Linked DNA regions of Coturnix japonica. The protein of the gene in region 2 interacts with the protein of the main gene of each other region in a pairwise test. Links are inferred from orthologs where the notes say so. Each region holds a gene or a part of one and is shown on either strand. Other genes may lie near its edges. The genes, in order: CBLL1 and cadherin-1.

Region 1 (4,467 bases), on a different chromosome or scaffold from region 2:
GTGCTTTCATCCTAGTAGATACTTCTTAAAATAACCTTCAGTTTGGTACAATTCACAAAGTTCCACCATTTCCCATCCACGATTTTACCTTATAGTCCCAAAAAATGGGTCCGGGGAATCTCCTTTGATTTCCAAACATTTCACCTCCTTTGCATTCGTATCGCTCCTCTTCATTAAAATCAAATTCTTCTGTGGAAAGAGGAAAGACAGACACAAGGCAACACCACTTCCCTGACTGACACCGGCTGCTATTGAGTGCATGCACCATCATATACTGAAAACATCAAGACGGGCTGCAACACTCCCGGTCTGCTGGGCTATTCTGCAGAAAGGTACAATCAAAACAGTGTGAATTTGTTTGGGGAATTGACATAATTTAATCCTTACAGAGCAGCAGAACCTGGAAACTTAAACAGGCTGAGCAGCTGTAAAAAATCTTGGATTCCAACACTGACTAAAGCCTTCAGCAGTGCTGCAGAATGCACTGCCTCACTGCGGGGTGAGTTGCTTGTAGCAATTTACCTTCATCCCCAGCTTGTGTCTTTGCAGGCATCCTGTTCATAGCTCTGGGAGCCCGAGGAGCAGGTTTGGTTTTATTGGTCTGCTTTGAGATCAGCTTTATAGGGATTCTTCTGCGAACATCAAGCCCACCCAATGACGCTGAACTGTTTGTTCCTTGCAAATCATTGTCTGTGGAAGAAAAGGAAATTCTGTTATTTCTTAGTTACAAAAGAGTTTCTGAAGGTTCTCAGAATCACAGAATGGCTTGGGTTGGAAGGGACCTCAAGGATCATCAAACTCCAACACCCCCCCACCACAGGCAGGGCCGCCAACCTCCACATTTAATACCAGACCAGGCTGCCCAGGGCCCTATTCAACCTGGACTTGAACACCTCCAGGGATGGAGCATCCATAACCTCTCTGGGCAGCCTGTTCCACCCTTTGCACCTGGACATATCATTTACAAGTTCAGCATGAAGTATCACAAACATATTGGTGCCTAGAGTACATAGCATCCTTGCTAAAGATCACCATTCCTCTCTACAGGGCGCGTTGGCCAGATTTAAGACTGGCACCAAAGGAAACAAGGATATGCCCAAAACAGGCACCAAGAGACAACCTGGAGAGGAAAGTGCTGCCAAGGATTGGTGCACACCCCAATTTCTCTGGCTTTCAGCAAGTCTGCCTCAACCTACCACACAGCATCTCATTTATACTAAAATAAAATCACACCCTTCACAAACCAACCCAGCTCACTTCCATTTTAACAGGAACATGGATAGACAAAATAGCACATTCAGTCAGCACTTTGCAACAAACACTCAGACTTCTACAAAACCCATTATCAGACTGATGTTCAGATGCCTTTAAGTCTGTATCCCTATAGAAAGGAGATGGACAAGTGTGTAAGATCACAAGTAACCCAGAAGGCAAATTCCATTCCGAAACAAAACTGACACACAACTCGGTGACAGCTCTGCAGTACCTGGACATTGAGACAGGGCCCCATCAGGGCACCGTGCACAACACCTCGTGTAAACTCTGTGCCTCAAAGCTCGCAGCTTTCCTCTGCAACAGCAACCAAGTTCCAAATCAGGACTGTGCCTTCACACTCACTTTGCTTCAGTATTATAAGTGCCCATATTTTGTGATCCATTCATCAGACAGCACCTGTTTTCCTCTGATCGCTCCCTGGGCTGCTCTGCTGCACAGCAAACAACACACTGCACTACAGGCCACAGCAGTCCTACAGACGTCGGTCCATTTGCAAGCATTGATAAATACACCAAACACAAGGTCAGAACTCAGCACAGCGCTCGCTCCATTGCGCTGTCCAGCGGGAGCAGTTCAGTTCTCACCCTGCCCAGCGAATGCCCACAGCCCCAAACCCAGCGGGCAGAGTTGGCTCCTACTTGCTCCTGCCTGTTTCCAGAAGGACGACAGAATCACAGAATTATCAAGGTTGGAAAAGACCTACAAGATCATCTAGTCCAACCATCACCAATACTTCCCAGCTAAATCATATTCATCAACACCACATCCAAACATTTCTTGAACACTCCCATGGTTGGTGACTCCACCACCTCCCTGGGCAGTGCATTCCAATGCCTGACTACCCTTTCTGAGAAGTAATACTTCCTAATGTCCAGCCTGAATCTCCCCTGGCGCAGCTTAAACCATTCCCTCTAGTTCTATCACCGATTACACGAGAGAAGAGGCCAACCCCCAGCTCACTACAACCTCCATTCAGGAAGTTATAGAGAGCAACAAGGTCTCCCCTGAGTCTCCTCTTCTCCAGACTGAACAACCCCAGCTCCCTCAGCCGCTCCTCATAAGGCCTGTAAGACACGCTCTGGTCTGTGGATACACACCCAGCCCTAAACAAGTACAACAGCTGTACCCAAATCTTTAGACCTGGAGAGGATGCAAGCAGCAGCGGAGCTCCTCTGTTTTCTTGAGCATTTTAGGCCTTCTTATAATCCATAACACAGCACAAACCCGAACCCTGACGCACAGGCCCCGCAGAACGGAGCGCGGATCGGCCGCGTTCGCTGGGGGAGGGGACGGCGAGCTCGGCGCTCCGGGCACGGCTCAGGCCCCGCGCCCGGGCTCACACCGCGGCCCGACGCGTTCCCGAGCACCGGCCCAGCCGCCCTCCGCCCCGCAGCCCGCTCACAACCGCCCCCCGTCCGGCAGCGCGGCCCAGCAGCCCCCGGCCCGGCCCGGCCCGGCCCGGCCCTCCTCACCATTGTGGTCCATGGCGCGGGGCGCTGTGGGAGAGGAAGGGCGCGGCCGGAAGCGGAAGGTTCGGGGCAACGGGCGGGGAGAGCGGCAAGGAGCGCGCTGAGGGGAAACGGCCATGGCGCCATGGAGCCGAGCGGGGGCCATAAGCACACACTGCTCTGGGTGCTGCTCAGCATTGGGATCCGTACAGACACATCTGCAAGGACTGAATACCATGCGGATGCACGGAGTGTTTTCTCAGTACGCACAGCTTTTGTTTTTCAGTCAGTGGATACAACGGCCTTCAATACACAGATCTGTAAAAGGGTTGTGAAATGTATCTCCAAGTGTAGCACCCCATAGTGCAAAGGCTGTAGTGATACATACAGAACCATCACCTCAGACTTTGTGTGGAACACCAACATTCAGGACAGGTCGAATGCTTTGTACCATTTGAATTGAGAGCACTGCCATACCTTGAGGAAATACACAGTCCAAGACTGAGATAAGTGCATTGCATTGCTCCTCTCAGGGCAGCCTGTTCCAGCTCCTCCCCACTCTTGTATTAAAGAGCTTCCCCCTGATATCCAACCTAAATCTTGCCTCGTTCAACTTAAAACCATTTCCCCTTGTCCTGCTGTTATCTACACCTTCAAAGAGTTGACTCCCCTCCTGTTTATAGGTTCCCTTTAGATACTGAAAGGCTGCAATGAGGTCACCCCCCATCCTTCTCCAGACTGAATGAGCCCAGCTCCTTCAGCCCATCTTCACACAGGAGGTGCTCCAGTCCTCCAGTCATCTTTGTGGCCCTCCTCTGGACCCTCTCCAGCAGTTCTCTGTCTTTCTTATATTGGAGCCCCCAAATCTGGATGCTGTCCTCCAGATGGGGCCTCCTGAAGGCAGAGTAGAGAGGGACAATCACCTCCCTGTCTCTGCTGGCCACCCCTCTTCTGATGGAGCCCAGGATACCATTTGCTTTCTGAGCTGCAAGAACAGGCTACTGCCTTGTTCACTTTTTTCATCCACCAGGATCCTCAGGTCCTTCTCTAGAGGGCTAAAGAAAAGCATTACAGACTCTGAGAAATGCTTCCATCTCAGGACGTGCAGGTCAGTCTGGCTTGGCTCCTAAGCACACACCTAGTTCCAGTTCATGGAGATGCCAGTCTGGCACACAAAGGGCATTTGCTTAACAGTAATAAGAAGTCATGTTGTCACCAGCTTGGGCTGTACCAGCAGCACCTTTGAGGTTCAAACCCCCACTGCATTTGAAATAAAAAATGACACCGATTGCCATTAGAACTGAAGTTTTTTGCATTTATTACAGAATAAAGATGTCAGTTTCACGCCTTTGCCCACTGTGTGAGGATCCTGTCCATATGATTGAGATTTATAGGATTTTTTACAATGATCTTAATGGAGTTCACTCAGGTCCATAGGGCAGAATAACGTACTTAGTGCTTAGCTTTTCACCTGAGATTTTCCACTAACCTTACTTGCAGCAATATCCTTCTCAGTGCAGTATGATATAGGAAAAATTCTCTGATGCAATCAAATAAGGAGACTTAACAAATATCAACATAAATGCCAACAACTGGGAATCGTAAATACTGAGGGGACATTATACATGGACATTTCTTATACTTCTGCTATTATATATTCCCTCACTGTGCAAAGATTCGTGTTTGTTTTTTTTTTTTCCTTTTTTGCTTTTCCATTAAAAAATAATATAGTGCTAAAACATTA
Region 2 (3,338 bases):
CCTGGAGCTGCAATAACCTTGTTGTGATCAGTGTGTGGGGGAGCACTGCGGGGCGAGGCGAGTTCCCAGCGCTGCAGCCAAACAGCCCCCAGATGTTTGTATGTCAAACAAACAGATAAAGCAGAGCACACACAGCAGCTGCTCCGCTGGGGCTGGAACCGGGATGGCTGCGAGTCCTCGGCTTGTATCCCTGGTGGCTGAATGCACGCAGGCGCTGCAGGGCGCGGTGTTCTGCTTTCTATTGCCTTACAGGGCAGCGAGCAGAGCCCTTACAGGCCTGGGCAAACATCAGCGATCGCAGCACTGCCTGCATTGCAGCCCCACGCTGGTCAGTGGGGCACAGTATCACACACAGGGTGCAGCTCCTCTGATAAGGCACTTGGGTGCAAGTCCAGTTTTCGCACCATCTGCTGCTCCTCCCTTCCTGTCCAGGCAGGGAGTAAAACCTTGAGTGCTGTTAGATACGGCTGTGCTGCCCTCAGCCCACGGTGCTGGGAAAACACGGGCTGTGATATGAACCCATCTCATCTCTCTGCAGCACTCCAAGGAAGCAGCACAGGGCAGAGGTACACACAACAAACAGAGCTGTTGGTTTTCTTACCATTTATTCTTTCAATTTGATATAAAAATCATTGCATCAATTAACACTCAGACAATCGCCGGCCTTCCAGCGTGCATCGGCCCCTTCCCATAGTACAAATATAAAACAGCTTAGACGCGGGGTTCGGAGGTTAAGTAAAGCCATTTGATTTCAGAAAGCACCTCTCATTGACAGAACAATAATTACAAACACACAGATGGGAAAAGCATCATCACCTGTTATACAAAAAAATAGAAATCTGCCCGTAAGTACTATATCAAATAGAATTATCTCATGTATTGTGTGAAGAGAATGCCACATCATTGGGCCATTGGTGGGTCTGATGCCCACCCTGTGTTGCACACTCAAGAGCAGCTCCACACAAAGGCCACCCCAGCCCCTGAGTGCAGCGGTGATGTCGGGGTTGGGAGCACGAGGTATTATGGAGAGTGCTGGAGAAATACCTTCCTCTGTAGCAAAGGGGGAGAGGCAATGGGGGCCTCTTTCCTTGCAGGGGGAGAGATGCTGAGCACCATCCACGTGCTGGGGGCTGTGGGATTCGGGCACTGGGAGCTGATCCAGAAGCATCACACCTCCAGGCCAAGGAGTGCCTGCCACCAGCCTGTCCACAAGGAGCCCCAAATGGGACCGTGTCCTGTGTGGGGCTGAGGGGGCAGGACAAGCGTGGGCTCCCCAAAAGCCTCCAACCCCGGTGACCCTGAGCTTCCCCTGCACCAAAGGGGAGGGATGCGAGTGGTGGATCCAATATTGTTGGAGGGGGCTTTGGCTGCAACACCCAGTGCACGTCCGAGGGGGTGAAATGGCAAGAGTCATGTGGCGGGACAGCCAAGGGGACGAGGGCTGCCTAGTCATCATCCTCCCCACCGCCATAGAGCTCCGCCAGCTTCTTGAAGCGGTTGCCCCACTCGTTGAGGTAGTCGTAGTCCTGGTCCTGGTCGGAGGCGGAGGAGTTGAGGGAGCTGAGCGAGGTGGCCTCCGACCCTCCGCCCTCGTAGTCGAACACCAGCAGCGAGTCGTAGGGGGGGGCCGTGGGGTCCGTGTCAGCCGCCTTCAGGTTCTGTAAGGGAGGGCAGAGGAAGGGCTCACCCGCTGCTCCCCCCCGGCCTCAGCCCTATGGGATGGGGACGCTGTGGTCAGCCCAGCAGTGCCGGCGCAGACGGTCGGGGCTCACCTCATCGATGAAGTTTCCGATCTCATCGGGGTTGGCGGGCCGGGGCCGGTACTGGGGGGCGGCCATCAGCGGGGGGGCCACGTCATTGCGGATCACCTCGGGGCGGGCGTCCAGGCCGCGGTGCAGCTGGCTCAGGTCGTAGTCCTGCGTGGGGATGGAGCAGAGAGAACAGCAACATGACACTGGAGGGATGGCTGCAGGCACTGCTTTGCACACTCCAAACATCCCTCATGGTTATGGCAACCCCCCTGTGGGCCACCTGCCATAGGAACAGTGCTGCAAGGATCCCACGGGCAGCACTGAGATCTGGCACCCTGGTCCCACCTGGTCCTCCTCGCCGCCGCCCTCCTCATCGTAGTTGTAGACATTGTCCCTCATGTCATCCTCAGGCGGCAGCAGCGGCTCCTTCTCCACTTTGCGTCGCCGGGCAAAGAGCAGCAGCAGCAACAGCAGGACTGCGAGCACAGGGCATGGCGTCAGCGCTGCGAGGGGAAAGCAGCCCCATCCACTTCCCCATCACACCATACTCACTCAGCAGGGCCAGGATGCCCCCCAGGATGCCCAGGATGGCAGGGACACCCAGCCCACCGACGATGTATGACCTCCGCTCGCAGTTCTTGGCTGTCCCTTCACACTCACACACCTGGGCTTTGACCTGTGTCACCTGTGTCTTGCCCTGGCCGTCCGTCAGCTTCACAAAGATGCTGTACTCGCCCGGCTCCAGCTCCTTTTTCAGGCCCACGGCCAGCTCATCTTGTGCAAGAGAGAGGGAACTGGGCTCAGAGTCGTCCCCAAGTGTGGAGACACTATCAGGGCTCTGCTCCATGGCAGCTCCCCATCATGAAAGCAGCAGCAGCTCAGTGCTGGTGGCATTCAGGGTAGCACAGGAAGAAGTAGCTGGGATCTGGCCCTTGCTCAGTGTCCCACACCCCACAGCACTTACCTTGGCTTATTATACTGACAGTCCAGTTGTTGCTGGAACCATGCTCCAGTGCTACTGTGAAGGGGTAGGTATGTGGGGGCAGGTCCTTGTCGACAATGCTCAGCACCTGCTTCTCAGGCTGCCGGCTGCAGATCTCAAAGGACCGTGGCTCTGGGGTGGGCCCGTTGTCATTCACATCCTGGAGGAGCAGCAGCAGCGTCCCCGTACCGGTGCTATCCGGCACCCCTACAAAGCCAGACGTTAGCGAGGCAAAGAGACCACATCCCCAGAGCTTCCATCTGCCTGCAGCGGGGGCACAGCCTCACCATTGTCCACAGCCAGGATGATGGCCTTGTATGTACTGTTGATGGCGTGCACCGACTCACGGTCCAGCGGTTGGGTGGCCGTGACGATGCCGTTCTGGGCGTCAATGGCCAGCCAGCCTGCTGGGTCGCTGCCCATGCGGTACCTGGGCAGAGGGAGCGGTCAGGGGGAGCTCAACGCCCACCCCATGCTCTCTCTCTGCCAGCCAAGCCCCCACTCACGTGATTTTCTGTCTCATGTCCCTGTCGGGGTCTTTGGCCGTGTAGGATGTAACCTCGTGCCCCACTGGTAGGTCCTCTGGTACCTCCACCCTCTTGACA

Evidence for each region.
Region 1: the proteins of cadherin-1 (region 2) and CBLL1 interact in a two-hybrid assay, tested with the Homo sapiens proteins (2 studies listed by BioGRID, with this or other methods). The link is inferred for Coturnix japonica from reciprocal best matches to the Homo sapiens genes CDH1 and CBLL1.

Annotation. Positions count from the first base shown.
Region 1 is NC_029516.1:13,295,227-13,299,693, reverse strand, and holds the start of CBLL1 (E3 ubiquitin-protein ligase Hakai), read right to left. Parts: upstream 2,879-4,467; 5' UTR 2,863-2,878; coding exon 2,748-2,862; intron 2,664-2,747; exon of another isoform or gene 2,416-2,663; intron 691-2,415; coding exon 523-690; intron 190-522; coding exon 89-189; intron 1-88. UniProt on the Homo sapiens protein: E3 ubiquitin-protein ligase that mediates ubiquitination of several tyrosine-phosphorylated Src substrates, including CDH1, CTTN and DOK1. Targets CDH1 for endocytosis and degradation.
Region 2 is NC_029526.1:16,832,483-16,835,820, reverse strand, and holds the end of cadherin-1, read right to left. Parts: coding exon 3,240-3,338; intron 3,164-3,239; coding exon 3,021-3,163; intron 2,941-3,020; coding exon 2,716-2,940; intron 2,526-2,715; coding exon 2,304-2,525; intron 2,228-2,303; coding exon 2,097-2,227; intron 1,917-2,096; coding exon 1,773-1,916; intron 1,659-1,772; coding exon 1,446-1,658; 3' UTR 587-1,445; downstream 1-586.